Xenopus tropicalis: one gene and its partners. The protein of the gene in region 2 purifies or fractionates together with the protein of the main gene of each other region. This does not show direct contact. Links are inferred from orthologs where the notes say so. Each region holds a gene or a part of one and is shown on either strand. Other genes may lie near its edges. The genes, in order: med9, med12, cdk19 and vdr.

Region 1 (3,298 bases), on a different chromosome or scaffold from region 2:
CACCATTCCACTGAACATTCCATTTCAACATCCATACTGCTGCCTGGTTGCCAGGGTAATTACAACCCTAGCAACCAGGTAGCAGGGTAATATTACAAGCCTTAAAGTTGCAAAACACAAAATATAAATTAGACTAATTGCAACTTTCACCATCATAGCAAGTTAATATTAGACATGAAACTGCGGGGTGGGGGGGAAGTGTCCATCTGGCACATTGTCCTTATTCAGGGGGTTCCAGGAAGTGGGTAAATAGTGAGCCAATCGGATTCCTCTGCACTACATCAGCGCGGATATATTTAGGCCTCTCCATACAAGGCGGCCTTTCCGCGCCGATGCCCTTTAGCGAGGGAGCCGTGTGTATTTCGGGACTACTTTACCTTTAAGGAACCCGAGCGCTCGCGGCTGCTTATTAGTGGAACACCCACTCGTTATTTCAGCTCCTGCTAATTGCTCTGCGTTACTTTCTTAATGAACTTGTGAACTCAATGGACCCGTGATTCATGTTCCGGAGAAACTTACAGCACAATTAATAGCTCGGTGGAATAAACTTTATGGAAAGACTCATATCCTGAATGAAAAAAAAAACAAAAAATATTGTCATTACAAAAGAATGTATTACACTAAAGGGGAATTTAACCATTACACAAACATTTAGTACGTTGTAGATAGAGGTAATATGTCCTTATCTTCTCCTATTCATCTTTCACACCACTGCGTGGTTGCTATAGGGACTGAGCCTAGCAACCACATAGCAGTTTAGAAAAAAACATCCATTAGGAATTTGCCCTGAGTCCAGAAGTCATGTACAAGGGCAACTGCCCTATATCGAGTTTAGGAATTGCAATGGATCCCTCCATATTTATACACTCTGGTTGGCCAGTGTTCCGGGCGCCATGTTGGGTTTGGCAGAACCTCCCACTGGGTGCAACAGTCCGTACAGCTATTCCTTGGGTATCTCAAACATGCAGAGGCTCTTGTACTTCTGGAGCAGTTCATTCTTGGTCTGTACCTGTTCCCTCAGGCTCTGGAGGTGCCGCTGTTGCTCCTCCGGGCTCAGGTCGATGCCGGGCATGTTGCCGACCAGCTTGCGCATGGCTTGGAACTTGCTCTTTAACTCATTCAGCTCCTGGTACACGTCCTGGCTGTCTTTGTCCATGCTAGGGGGGAGGAGGAGGAGACTGGTTAAAAATAAGCATTTGGGGGCTGAATAAAACCAATACTGGTACTGTTATTGGTAACCTTGGGCTCACTGCTCTTCTTCCCTGACAATGGAGCAGCCTGGGGTACTTTCTATGGGAGTGCTGCTATCTTTACCCAGTGTAGTGTTCACTGGGAGGAGCCTAACACATTAGTAATTGCACTTGCCCTTTAAAAAAAAATAGGGGGGCAGCAGCTTCTAGTAAACAGTTCATTGATCCTCACCAACCTGCACCCACCTGTGCCCAAGGCCATGTTTATATATAGGCTCCCTGGGGTCGGTGCATAGGAGGGAGGCTATTATTAAAGCTTATTAATACCCCCAGCACGCCAGAGGGCACTTTTATTATAAATCTGGTGGAGGAACTGAAATAAAGTAGGGGGGACCCCTCTGCCTTTCAGACCCACCACACACCCGTGACCCATTGGGTGATTAACTGCCCGAACCCTCCCAACTCCAAGGCTTCAGGCCCAACTCCCACTAAAGCAGGTTCTTTGCCGTTTCCCAATTCAAGTTGCAGAACCAGCTTTGCAGCCCAACATGTGCTTTAGAACCCATTATGTGCCTTGCTTTAATAACTATGTCCAACAGCAGGCAGCGCAGGGGGCCTATTCTGTGGCCCATAGGTTATACAAGTCTAATGCCTATTGGGCCTAGAGCCGCCCGCCATGGATGGACTTAAGAGTCGGATGTTGTTTCAAAACCTGCTGCTCAAACAGCCAAACACGATGCAGTTCTCTTACAGGAACAGAACCAACATGGATGGAACAGAGATTAAGGGGCAGCAGAGTAAAGTAGCACCTAAGTAACTGCAGTTGTTTTCTTCGAGAGCTCTGATCCGCCGCGGGCTGAACACAGGGCTCGCAGGCAAATCCACGGCCAGATGGAGGATATTGCTTTCATATGCATTCCTGGGAGGCCTACGCAAAGGGGACTTATATTCATTGGCTCCTTATACATATCATTTCAGTCACCTGCTGCCGGCCGCCGGGCAACGTGCCGCTTGTTGTGTATTTGGGCGCAGGCACGCACCTTAGTGTCGGAGGGCCCCAAACACCCAGGCAAGGGCAGCACCCATAGCTAGTGCGTCATTGCCATTACAAGGGTAAATCTGCCTACACATTTCTTTATAGCATTACCCACCCCATTGTATGTAAGGCTGCTGCCAGCTCCAATTAACCTCACTTTAGTGGCTCTGTAGGAAAGGCAGGCTTAATTAGATGCTAACACGAGGAACGAGCTACCTTGTCTGTACTGTCACTTCCGACAGCAATTAGGCTTCCATTTACTGCATTTATCTGCATAGATTCATCAGGGATGAGAGTGCGTATATATCTATATATATCTATATGTGTGTATGTGTGGGTGCTTATCATATACAGAGCAAATCTATATACTAAAGGCAACCCAATCTCCCCAGTGCTTACACACATACAATATCCAGAAGTCACCCTGCCTTCTCTGTGCAGTGGGACCAATGTAAGCTCTCTTCTGATTGGCTCTGACTGCATAGTGAAGACAGGGCAACTGGAGAGCAATTCCATTTTTGCAGTATTATAGCTGGGGGGGGGGGGGGGGGAGAGACAGGAGCTACTCGGGGTATCTTTAGGGACACAGACCTTCCTGGCAGATAAGCCTAAAGACTAACCTGCAGCATTTCTAACTTGCTCTTTCCTTAGGATTTAGTTCCCCTTTAACAAGAAAGTGCAGTGAAAAGGGTTCCTGTATGTAATGAGTGTCCCTGTTGCACAATGTGTTGTTACTGCAGTTCTTCGGAATCAGAAGTGACATACGCAGAGCGCTGATCGATAGCAGATACTTGTGCGGCTGTGAGTGCACTTGAGCTAGGAATTATCGGGGGCTGATTCAGAGGCGGATGCAGAGATGGGAGCAATGATGAGGACACGGCATCCAGGCAAACAGCTGGATATTGTATTTATAGGCTACGTGCCTGCTTGCAAGTAAAGCGGATCTGTTCTATCCCAACAGGACCCCGCAGGCCGTTACAGCACTATAACTCCCAGCATCGGCAGTGGATATGGGAGATAGAATTCCTCAGTGGCTGAAGGCTGCATGTCCCTATCGCCCCACAATGGCGAC
Region 2 (4,188 bases):
TCTGAATATGTGTCTACCACTCCCTTCTCAAATTCTTTATTCCCTGGTTATCCATAATCCAGCTGCATCCTGGGGGTTCTTCTCACTCTTCCACCATATCCTTCTGTGTCTTTTATGCTAACAAAATCCTATTGTGAGTATACCCAAATATATTTATCAAACCCCTTACCTGTACTAACAACTGAACTTAAGCATTAGATCTCAAACTGCCATCTAACCATTGCCTCCTAAACTAACCCCCATTTCAATGAAGCTTAAAGGAACAGTAACACCAAAAAATAAAAGAGCTTTAAAGTAATAAAAATATAATGCACTGTTGCCCTGCACTGGTAAAACTGGTGTGTTTGCTACAGTAACACTACTATAATTTATATAATAAGCTGCTGTGTAGCCACGGGGGCAGCCATTCAAGCTGGAAAAAAGGAGAAAAGGCACAGGTTACATAGCAGATAACAGACAAGTTCTGTAGAATACAATAGTGTTTTATCTGTTATCTGCTATGTGCCTGTGCCTTTTCTCCTTTGAATGGCTGCCCCCATACTACACAGCAGCTTATTTATTTAAGTTATAGTAGACTTTCTGAAGTAAACACACAACTTTTACCAGTGCAGGGCAGCAGAACATTAAATTTTAGTTACTTTTATACACTTTCATTTACTGTTCCTTTAACAAAAACTGAACATATCAACTTTCTACCTAAACCTGGTCCTTCTTCCCGTTTTATTATTGCTACTAATGGCGTGATCATTATCCCTTGTAATTCAACATGCCACCTGGGTGTAATCTTTGACTCTGGTCATGTTAACATTATCATTAACAACTGGCACTTTTACCTAAGCAACATTGCCTTCTCTTGTTTAATCAATAGCTAAGACAGTCAACTGGAATTTTAGCCAAGTAGAATACCACAACTTAATACTAACTGGCCTCCCAAAATCTGACCTCTCCTCTAAAAGGGGCATAGGTTCTATGACACCTTCACCTGTTTGTTGTGACTATTTTGGCTCACAGGTAGGCATAAGTCCATTCTCCTGCTAACTTCATCTTTCCTCTCATAGCCACTGCCTGGCCACACCTCCCACATTATACATTTGGATTCCATCTCTGAATTCCTTTGGAGAGAATCCTCCTTCAACCCCGTTAAAACTAAACTTAAAGACTCTTTCTGAAGCATAACATCTGACTCAGTCTGGCACTTATGTAGCAATGCCTCAACCACTGTTAATTGCACTTACTGCCCTGTTCGTGTCTGTAAGTTACACACCCATTTAGAAGGTCAGCTGTACAGAGACAAGACCAACTTCAAGTGGTCACTTAATCTTAAATGCAATTGTATTTAATCATATTCTATTATTGTATTGATTAGTGATGTATTTACAAATAGAGGTGTATTGCCCCATCTATCTTATATTTCTGTAAATCTCACCCACCAGTGAAATCACTTTCTGTGCTTTGCTTCTCTCCAGCCATTATTTTTTTAGCCAGAAATCACTATCGGGCACCATACCTGTTCCCTTGTAAGCTCTGGCCTGGAACTCATATCATCAGCACCAGCAAAAGCTATATTTACTAGTACCCATTCTCTCCTAGATAGCCTTGCATTTAGCCTTTGCATATTCAACCTCTACAGCCTCTTTAAGCAATAACCTTGCCAATATACCTTGCTAATTTACCAGTCAACCTTCTACTTTGTTTGCCCCAGCCTTCAGATTACAAGCCTTTGTAAACAGTGTTCTCATTATCCCAATACTATTGTTATGTCTGTATATAAATTGTTATATTCACAGAAGTGGGGAATATGTTGGTGCCCTATAAGTTGATTGTAATGTTAATTTTGTTAAAACTACCTTTTTGCCTTCTGTGCCAAACTTTAAATAGCCTAGATATATCCTTCTGCCCATTACCCTGCTTTTTTTTTTCTTTTTCATGTGTATCAATCCTCCCCTGGAGGACTGGTTCATTTAGCTGCACAGGGCAAATTAATTGCACCTAAGCAGTAACCTGTAGCAAACTATCATATTTTTTGCTGCCATTATTTCAGCTGCAGCTGTTTGTACAAAGCTAATAAAGCACAATGGCTGCTAAATCTTTCAACTGTTGGTAAAATCCCCCGATTTATAGGTTTGCAGATTATCCTTATTTGTGTGTGTTGCCTTTAAATGGCCCCTTTCCCACAATCCCCTAGTGCCAGATCGGTTTAAGCAGCCTTCTCTTCCATTCTGGAGCCCTGACAGCCCCTCGGGTCTCACCTCCTTCTGTTTGGCGTCTTGAGGGTACACGTCTGGGGGTCCAAGACGGGGTCTTTTCAGCGGCCGGTGCTCGTAGCTCAGGATCCCGAAGGCCGCCATCTTCCTTCCTTGCTCGGCGGCGCGCACGACATGACGTCGGATGGAACCAACAGGTCTGGGCACAAACACAGAGCGCTGCGGGCGCGCCTGGTCACGTGATACTGAGAGCAGTGAGGCCAGGGCGGCCATGTTTGTGCTTGTCACGGCCGTCTTATGTCTTGAATGGTTGGCTGCTGAATGTAATATTATAGGTACTGGATATGTTCACTAGAAGAAAACCTCCCATCCCTGGTCAAGACAAGCGCTTTTTAAAGGGAAACTCTGTTGCCCGTACCCAGTTTTACCACAAGGGGTCGCATTCGTAGCATTCTATTGTGTTTTATTTACTAACCTGTACGCTTCAGGCTGACTTGAACTCTATTTTGTATCTAAGAAACGTCAGAAAAAAAGAAACATGCCCATTTCAGGCATGCCTAGAGATAACATTGCCAGTCCAGTGCCTTTTTGTGTGTGCTCCTTGACAACACTCCTGGCCACACCTTGATACACCCCCCATCCATAGGGACGCTGTTTTTTTTTTTCTTTTACTATTTTACCGGCCTTCAGCCAGGGGTGCAGGTGGGGGTGTCACATGGGCGGATTCTAGGCAGGTCTGGCTTTATAAGGAGTAATCTGTCAGTGGAGAGGGGAAGGAGGGATTCATAGGGTATTGAAAATTGGCCTACAATTATATTGCCAGTAAATCTGGCCTGGCCTAGCTGGTGACTTACAGGCTGGGCTGGTTAAATACTGGCTGGGTGGTAGCCCTACCCCTATCATGCTTAGGGCACCCTGTTATAGGCCTTTTCAATCATGAGGGTTCATTTTAATTTGGGTGCACAACTCCAAAGCATAGCACATCACTGGTACAATATGGAACTCAGGAATACTTTATATTGAGGTGATTTTCTGATTGCAGTGCAGCCCACCAACTTGTATTGAAAGCTTATGGGAAATAAACTGTGCAAGGCAAGGCTCAGATCACTTCAGCTCCCCAGGAATATTTCAAACAACTCAGAAGAGAGTGGGCAAGGTTTTGATCAGGGACATTTTTGGATAAAACTGGACATGAATGGAGCAGATCAGGTCATGGCCAAATGATCACAATTTTCAATATTGGGAGGTATGATATAGGTATACCTATGGGAAATGTGTTGTTGAAGCCCTACATTTAGTGGTTTCCTTCCAACATATTTCCCTTTATATAGGTACAGTTATGAAGTGTTTATGGCTGTGCTAAAATCACTGCACCACATTAGGTGTTTCCCTTTAAATCAGTGGTGTAATGCCCTCCCCAGTGGGGTGGTGGGAGGGGCTTGCGCCCTCAGCCATATGGCGGGACTGCTACTATCCAATAAGGGAACTTTAAGCAAAGGGACCTGGGTGAAGTTTTTATGGTTGATTTGAATCGGCACAAGCGTCCAGCACCCCCTGCTGGTAGTTCCTCCCCTGTTATTACCTCCTCAACCAATACACTTTTTTGTGGCGCCAGGCGCCATTGGCAGACAAATGTGGGGGACCTGGAATTGTACCAGAGACATCAACCAGCCCCATGTCATGAATGAGACAATGATTCAGTCCTTTTTAGGTCTGAATTCCTATTCACACTAAATGATAACATGAAATAGAGTGTGAAAAAGCCCAGGATTGTATCATTATTGCCCTCATGAAATAGTGCTGGTTGATGACTCTGTACAGCAGACCCAGCGATTGTCATGGTCCCCCATCTTACCCAGGTCTGCTGTATTCTAGTTATTCTAGTCAGCAGCATAAGGCTTTCTTGCTAAAATCTTTTTTTTTTATATCAGTTTATAATAAATACTGTGATTATTGGTACACCTTTTTAACAAAGATGCTATGC
Region 3 (4,082 bases), on a different chromosome or scaffold from region 2:
AATAGTACATATAACTATTGTAAATTGTGAATCACCACCAATGTGAAGTTGTGCAAAGAAGGAAGTGAACAGTTCTACAAGCAAATAAAATATTTCAAAACATCCTCCAATGAAAGGAAGTGCTACAGATAAGATTACAAGATTAGAAAATGATGTATTAGTCACCAACGTGACAATTTAAATATACTAGCAAAGGTAAGAGCCAGCAGACAGTTTACACAAACATAGCAGAGTAACCAAAAGTTACATGGGTCCCAGTTTTTTAAGAGATTTTATTGGCTCGAGGGCCATTTTTTATGTAATTAAAGGTCATGACAGACCGGAAGATTAGTCACCCTAACTGGTGGGATGGCATATCGGGGAGATTAGTCGCCCGCGACAAGGGAGATTTGTCGTGCAGCAACTTATCTCCCCGTCTGTCATGGCCCTAATGGTAATGTACCACAAACCTGCCCAACTACTACTAAACAAAGAATTGACAAGGATTCATGGGAGGTAAACAAAGGACAGGACAGTGGAACAGATAATTTATTACTAAGTATTTCTGTACTTGGGGAATTCTTCAAGAATATCTAAATATTACATTACTTAGATTTAAAAATAAGCAGGGTTATTTATGATGGTCACAAGTTGTCTCAGTGAGCATCTCAGCAAATGGGCTATTAGATGTTAAGGCATGTACAAGAGGCAAGGAACTACAAGCTTACATTGAGTATCAAATTGCCCCAAGTTGCCCCTGAGAGATGATCCTCGCCTCCAAACCATCACCAGTGGGAATGAGAAAAGTAAAGACAGAAGAGTTTGACTAGTTATAATCTTTGAACATTTACCTTTAGCTAAGGGGGCAGAGAATAAAATAATTAATAATAATTAAAAATGAATAGTTACAGGAAAACATTTAAGCTTACTCATTATACAAAGAGTGACATTTATGCATGGGCTGGAAATCTAATGCAGGATGTGAGTTAAACAATGGGACATGGAATTGTACAAAATGTTCCAGCAAAAACACAGAAATAATATGGAGGGTGCACAGGTACAGAAAGGGGAATATTTTTTTCTTGTGGAAAAAAAACAGTAGAAAAAGAAACAGACAATGCACTATTTGCAATGTAATGTGATGTCACTGCTACAGAACTAATGGATTTTTTTAACCTAATATAATACCTTATAAGTCCCCAATCTGTATTATTTAGCCTAAACCTGGCCCAGGTATGGGCTGCAAGACAAAACAGACCCTGGCATTTCAAGTACTTAAGACGCCCAAACAGCCACCCACAGGCCCAATAGTGACTGTCTATGGGCATCTTACAGTCCCTCTGGTGTTAAGCAGAATGTACAAATTGCCAGTCCAGCAACCCACCATTAAACCAGTAGTTCTACCTATGAAGAAGTGAGCAAAGCACTGTGAGAATTAGCACCTTCCCTGGAGGATAACTAAAGGGCCAGAACCAAGAGTTAAAAAAAAAAAGGGTTGACAAAGGATTGCATCTTTTTAAAAGCTTTTTTTATTGATTCTTAGTCCTGAGAATTAAAAAAAAACTTCATGCTAGATGGGCTAAATAATGTCTGTCTGATAAATAATTCAAAGTTCTTACAGCCATTAGTATAAGACTGCAACTAAAACATCAAACATGGAGGCGATTATAAAATCTTGCACATACACAAACATGCCAATGTTTTAAAGAACGTGTGTTTATTTAGCAAATATCCCAGAAAAATCACATAGGTGCCATCACAAATGTTTTAACCTGAATGAAATCAAGCAAAGCATCATTTCAACTTTATTAAAAGTCTTACTATGCTGAGTTTAGAGAACAACGCATTTATTTATTCCTTAGTTAAGCCTGAAGTATAAGCAGTCACTTCATATCATGTGTAATTGCCCTTTTCATACACACAGCTCAGCCTCCAGTGATGTTCAACTTGTGGCCCTACCGCTGCCCTTCACGAATCCCAGCGGGTAACTGTCTCCTCAGTAAAGGGCTGGCATCCTTACTGATCAGGACTGGCTCTTTAAAGAGAGGGAAAATGCCATAGAAATGGGTAATCTGCAAGACGAGGGAGAAAATATTGACACATGGTGCTATGGCAAACACTGAAGAGGAGGAACAGCGGAGTAGGTGGGACCACAAGGCTGGATTACCCCAACATAAACATTTGTAGCTCAGACTCCCTCCCCCTCCTCCCCCAGCACAAGTTCAGCATCCCGGGCGTGTGCAGAGGAGGAGGAGGGAGCTACAAATACACAGTAACAGCACATAACTAGCACAATATCCCCATCAATAACTTCCTAACATGACAAGAAATGCAGCATCTCCGGCTTTCCTCGTTGTCCGGGGGTTACGTGTATATGCAGTGCTGCTGGTATAACAAACACAAGGCTGTGACAGACATGAGTGAACACAATAATTACCTCATAGACACAATAGCAGCAAGCACATGCATTCTACTGTACGGAACCCACGCAGGTATGTGTGCACCTAGAGAGGTGCGTTTGCTGCTCAAGCACAGGACTGCGCGATGCTCTAGGTGGTCCGCACACAGGTATGAACAGTGACCTAACACACACCTCCCTCCCACACGCCCCTCCCTTTAGTGCCTCTTACCCATCTTTCCTCTTAGCTTTGTAAACATGCCCGTAGGTGCCTCGACCCACTTTGCAACCTTCATATTCAAACAGCTCCTCCACTTTCTCCCGCTCGGCGGACAGCTTGCTCTTAAATTCGTAATCCATCCTCCTCCACGGCTGGAGCGAGGGCGTATTTAACCCATCAAGGCTCAGCTATCGCCCCAACCCTTTGCTGTCCGTTGGCTACTGCCGGTCGTTACATGGAATAAGTGCCAGGCTCTCCCTCCACCATTTCCTTGTTTTTCTTCTTCTTTGCACATAGACGCATGCCATGTACTTTAGCGGGAAGAGCGCCCTCTATCTTTACTTTCAATTTCACTTCCAGCAGCTGCCCGCTCTGCCGTGGTGCTGCCAAATTGTGGAAGCTGCCCGCCTGAGAGGCGTCACTTCTTACCGGGCCTGTACTCTGAGCGGAGGGTTCCTGGGCACAAACAACTGGCAGGGGGAAAGCCTATCACTTCATTCATTACTTCATTGCTGGCGATGCAGTGCCTTCATGTTAATAAATGCGCGCCAAATCACACAATCAATTATAAACACATTTATCTTTGAAATAGTGTTTTTTTCAGTGTACTAGTCAGACATTATCCATAGAACTAAAATACATGGCAAAAAATGCCTTGTTCAGGTAGCAGGGAATTCAACCATGCCTAATGCTGGCCAGTACTAATAGATGACACTGCAAACTTTGCCAACTAGAATAGAGAGCACTGAAATAAATAATGAAAGCGCGGAGGGACTGTGGAGCCAGCTGTGGCCCAGTTCCCTCCGTGCTTGTAAGGGGTTAACTCACCAGCTAGTGCAGTCAGGAAAGGGCAGCCCCCCCTTGCTCGCTCCTCCTCCCTCCTCTGTGCCTGCATTCCCGTGCTGCTGCTGCCACTCTGCTTCTGGATTCCACCAAGCGGCATCCTAGCTGCTCCAACTGCTGCTGCTGCCTGTGTCCATCAGCCCCCACCAGACCCCAGCATGAGCGAGGAACTACTGGAGCAGGTGCAGGCAAAAATTGCTTCTGATGGAGCCGACTGGCTACAACAGCTACTTGGCCCCATCAGCACTGAACAGAGACAGGGGGGACAGGCAGCCGGCAGTGCTGGGAAGCGGCCGGCTCGCCGCTCCCGCCCTCCCTCTCGCCTGAGCCCCAGTCCCCCACGCGCATCCAGGCGCACGTCCTCTGCCGCTGCCTCCCAACCCCCGACTGTAGTCTCGAGGAGGCAGCGTGCAGAGGTCAGGACTGCGGCCCAGGCACCTATGGCGGTCACAGCCACTGCCACCAATGCTTCTCAAAGACAAAAGCCCCCAGCCAGTGATAAGGCTAGGCGGGCCACACACAGGCCCCCACAGTGGAAGTCAGCACCCCCACTGCATTCCCTTGCCCCTACACCAGTTGCAGTCCCTTCCCCCACCATACCCCCTAGCCCGGGACCCCTTTTTGCCACTGCCACATCAACGC
Region 4 (4,257 bases), on a different chromosome or scaffold from region 2:
TATCGCAGGAGGCTGCTGATATCGGTCGACTCGCCGATCGGGCGGGTTAAAAGATTTTGATCGGGCGCCATAGAAGGTGCCTGATCAAAATCTTATTTAATGCAAAGTATCCTTCATTTATACCCACATGTTTCAACAGCACTTAATAGAGATTATCATTCATATGTGGAATAGAAAAGTAAAAAGTCATACTTTGATCCCTGTGACACAAACAGGAGCTCCTCTACACATAAGTGTTGAACAACCTGTAGCCCTCAAGTTGTGGCTGAACATGTGCACTAAATAAGCACAAAAAGAACAGCTACCCATTTTGTATCAGACAGAGCAAGATACTATTAACTCCCTTAAACAGACAAATACCCATAATCCCTTAAAATGGCCATACACTAAAAGAGCCACTCGCTAGCAAGTTCTTTAAACAAGCGGATCTTTCTCCGGTATGGCAATCTTGAGGTGATTATTACTGGACTATTGCCAAATGACTGGATCACAATAACACCAAATGCAGGCAAGGACCAGATTATCAAGCCAATGTGGTCCTTCACCCAGTGGGATTTAAACCTTCCCAATAAATATCTGCCCAATATTTGTCCAGAAATTGGAGGGCCCCATACAAAAGCAAATAATCTGCCGACTCGGTTTCAAGGGGCTAAATCAGCATATTTAAGATGCCAAAGTCCACAACTGTGTGTGGTGGAACTCATAGTTTAAAGGAAAACTAACCCCTAAAAAGAGAATATGGTTAGAAATGGCATACTTTATATACTGAACTTATTGAGCTGGCCTAAAGGTTCAGCATCTGATGCAGGCCTTCAAAGTTGTCACAAAAGCTCCCCATCTTGGATTTTGTTATAAGTGTCGGTGTGCTCTGGGCAGCTGTTGAGAAGCTAATCTTATGGGGCGTTGCAAATTATCAAGTGGAAAATGAGGTTTGTTTGTCATAAAGGCCGATGCTACAGGGCTGGGTATTAATTTCTGATGATAACTGCACTTGTTTCAGAGCTGCCATACACTAATAATCTGTATTATTTACTAATTAGCCTTATATAGTGACATTTATAGTCTATATATACAGTATATTGTGACATTTATAGTTTATATCTACAGTATAATGTGAGTGGGCCCCTAAGCTCAGTAAGTGACAGTAGCACAGAGCATGTGCAGGGAATCAGTAGAAAAGAAGATGGGGGGCTACTGGGGGCATCTTTGAGGGCACAGATCTTCACTGCTAAAGGCCTGGGGTTGCCTTGGGGTGGTACAGAAGCCCAAAATATCTACTAACCTACTTCTTTAGTTAAGCTTTAGTTCTCCTTTAACAGCAGCTGGCTGGATATCATTATAGAAAACTGCAGTCTTAAAATCTAATGCATGTCTGAATAGTACAAACTCCCCTGGTTGGGGTGGTAGGTTGGTGGTAGCTTTGAAATTCTGAAATGGTAAATGGTTATAGCCGAGATGTTGTCATTCCTCCACCACAACGTTGTCATTCCTTCACCACAACTCCTATTATGATCCTTTCAGTTCTAGTCCAGACATGGCTAATGAGCCCTGGGCTAGAGATTGCTCCTTTAACAGTATTACTGTCATCTGTGGCTGTTTAAGATCTGGAAAGAAAAATATGTGTGGTGTGTCTATACACTCAGCATCTTAAACCTCTATTTACTGTTAATGAACTGGAATTACACGCCCCCTTAAAGTGGTACTGACACTAAAAACGACTGTTCAAAATAAAAATGTACATTAAAAGTTCCCTATAAGTCATATTGATCATTTTTGCTGATAGGACTGATTTTTTAACTGTTTCTTGAAGTTCCAAAATCTGCCTGTTTTGCCAACGAAGCTCTTGAATCGTTTGGTCTGTATATGCACTCCGCAACAAACAGGTTGGAGGTATCTTTTTACACCAGCAAATCGTTTTGTTTGCTTTTTCCTTTTTTCATTGTTTTGCCAACCTGACTGTCCCTTCTAAAGTTGTCAGTTATAGTTTCTAATGTTAACAGACTACGAGCAGCCCCCTCATAGAGCAACTTTGGGGATCTGATAGATAATGTAATAGCAAAAAAAGGTCTAATTTCTGGTTCAATGAGTTGCAGTTCAAAAACAGCGGGAGCACTCCAAGTTGGGTATAACCAATATAAAGGAAATCTGCCAGACTAGGGACCAATGATTATGAGGGGAAAAAAGTCATGTTCAACCTACAACTCTGTGCTGTTGTTACACTACAACTCTCAGTCAGGTTTGAGAGTTGTAGTCCAACAACAGCTATAGAACACAGCCTGGACATCTCTGATGTGTATAGTAAACACAGCTAACACCTTTTACACAAATACACAAATACAGGGGGCTAAGGTCAAATGCCATCTCCTTTTACTAATAGCCCCGCTGCTATAGGGCTTGTGTGACACCTATGCTGTCATTTACCCCTGTCTCTCATAGTCCAACACGTTCCGAGTACAGTACACACAGTGGAATACGGCGGTTACAATGTAACAGAGTTTGACATGAAGTGGAATGTACTAATCCCCTTAGTCCCCCCCGCACTGCCCAATGAGCGCTCAGTGCCTGACAGGAGCTGTCACCCTCATGTTCCCGGCCGCGCTGTTACCTTGTAACTGTAACCCCTGGATCAGCAACCTGGCACGGACAATTGGCACAGCAGCCCCAACTCTTCTTGCCTATTTGGTTTCACAGCGGCTTCCAGTCAGCAGAACCTGAGGAGGGGGGAAACACACTGAAAAAGGGACGTGACAAGTCCCTCCTGGAGGTGGGAATGCCCCAGCAGTAGGAGGGGAAAAGGGCGGCTGACGAGCAAGGTACGTCCTTCCTGTCTCACTGCCCCATTCATGGGCTGCACCGTCACTCTGACCTTTGGGCGGGACTGTGGAACCGCAGCTGCTGCTCACATTAACTCTTTAGTGACAGCTACACAGGGGCTGCAGGAAGGAAATAGTTAACATTTGCCCAGTCCTTGAGACTCGTAGGCTGTCTGTAGTTTCCCCTCACTGCCAGCTGTCTCTGCTTTATGTAGAGAAGCGTCAGACAGACAGGCAGTTGTTTACACCTTCAGAAGGCACGTCATATTGCGCAACAACTTGTACATATTTTCTATCATCGGGACTGTGAGAGTTGTAGTTTAGCCTGAGGGTTTCGGGGTGGTCGTTCCTCATGCTATTTTACATTTTTCAAGGGACCATAAAAAAATTGTGTAAAATCCTGGAAATGTTTTATGTATTATATATTAGTGAAACTACAAGAAAACAGTTTTAAATGCTGGAAAACTTAAACTAAGGGTATTGAGGCTTCACTGTGTATGTTATTTTCCCAACCCCCACCCCATGGAAAACACAGGCTTTCTAAATTACAAGGACCCCACTCTACTCTCAGAATCCCTCCAAAACTTCTTGTTCCAATACCAAGCCAAACCCTAATCCACACAGGATATTGCACGTACATAGCCCATTGGATAAAAGCAGATGGGGCACAAGACAAATGTCCCCTCTGCTACATATGTGGTACTTCTACATATTATGTACATACGTGCCGCACCTTAAGATTACTTTATTTTACTATTACTATGTAGTATTTCTGCATACCAGACATACAATAAATTACAATATAACATTACGTTGAATATGTAGATCATCCCAGTTTGTGTCCTTTAGTCCCCCCCAAGATGCACAATTAGCAGCCTGCCCTATATATTTAGATTATAGTGCACCCTGTGCTGTAAGGAAAGCTTCACTTTTTGATTTAGAAGGCATTGCTGGAGATTCAAATCACACTATGACTGCATTGATGGGAAATTGCTCAGTATGCTGGGGAAATTTTTATATTATATGTGAGAGATAAACATTTCATGCAAGTTACTAAACAAACAGGCCTAAAAGTGTAATGTATAAATAACAAATAATAATTGCCAAATATATTGGCATGTCTCAGTAGCATCACATTATATGAATAAGACTACTATTAATTATATTTATATAGTTGCCCTACACAAGTGAGTGCCTTGGGATCTCCCTTTAAGTTGAGCTGTCATTCCTGATTAGCTTTACATATGCTTGTATTGATTCTCAGCCAGTAAGAGTCCTAGCTCTCAGGTGGGTTACATAATTGCTTGAAATAACTCTTAACTTTTTCATAATCAATATACCTTTTCTTTTGGGGCCTGCTGTTTTTAGGAGTTCCATAAATATAAACTGCTTGCTTGTATTGCCTTAGCAGTAACTCTGCCATTTCCTTTTAGAACTTATCGTG

The links.
Region 1: the proteins of med12 (region 2) and med9 purify together in Homo sapiens (affinity purification with mass spectrometry; 6 studies listed by BioGRID and IntAct, with this or other methods). This does not show direct contact. The link is inferred for Xenopus tropicalis from reciprocal best matches to the Homo sapiens genes MED12 and MED9.
Region 3: the proteins of med12 (region 2) and cdk19 purify together in Homo sapiens (affinity purification with mass spectrometry; 10 studies listed by BioGRID and IntAct, counting the BioPlex papers as one, with this or other methods). This does not show direct contact. The link is inferred for Xenopus tropicalis from reciprocal best matches to the Homo sapiens genes MED12 and CDK19.
Region 4: the proteins of med12 (region 2) and vdr purify together in Homo sapiens (affinity purification with mass spectrometry; 3 studies listed by BioGRID, with this or other methods). This does not show direct contact. The link is inferred for Xenopus tropicalis from reciprocal best matches to the Homo sapiens genes MED12 and VDR.

What each region holds. Positions count from the first base shown.
Region 1 is NC_030685.2:15,706,193-15,709,490, forward strand, and holds the end of med9 (mediator of RNA polymerase II transcription subunit 9), read right to left. Parts: intron 1,158-3,298; coding exon 941-1,157; 3' UTR 527-940; downstream 1-526.
Region 2 is NC_030684.2:44,398,394-44,402,581, reverse strand, and holds the start of med12 (mediator of RNA polymerase II transcription subunit 12), read right to left. Parts: upstream 2,809-4,188; 5' UTR 2,478-2,808; coding exon 2,250-2,477; intron 1-2,249. UniProt on the Homo sapiens protein: Component of the Mediator complex, a coactivator involved in the regulated transcription of nearly all RNA polymerase II-dependent genes.
Region 3 is NC_030681.2:77,212,231-77,216,312, reverse strand, and holds the start of cdk19 (cyclin-dependent kinase 19), read right to left. Parts: upstream 2,862-4,082; 5' UTR 2,738-2,861; coding exon 2,610-2,737; intron 2,598-2,609; exon of another isoform or gene 2,417-2,597; intron 2,052-2,416; exon of another isoform or gene 1,678-2,051; intron 1-1,677.
Region 4 is NC_030678.2:143,849,758-143,854,014, reverse strand, and holds the start of vdr (vitamin D3 receptor), read right to left. Parts: upstream 2,843-4,257; 5' UTR 2,606-2,842; intron 1-2,605.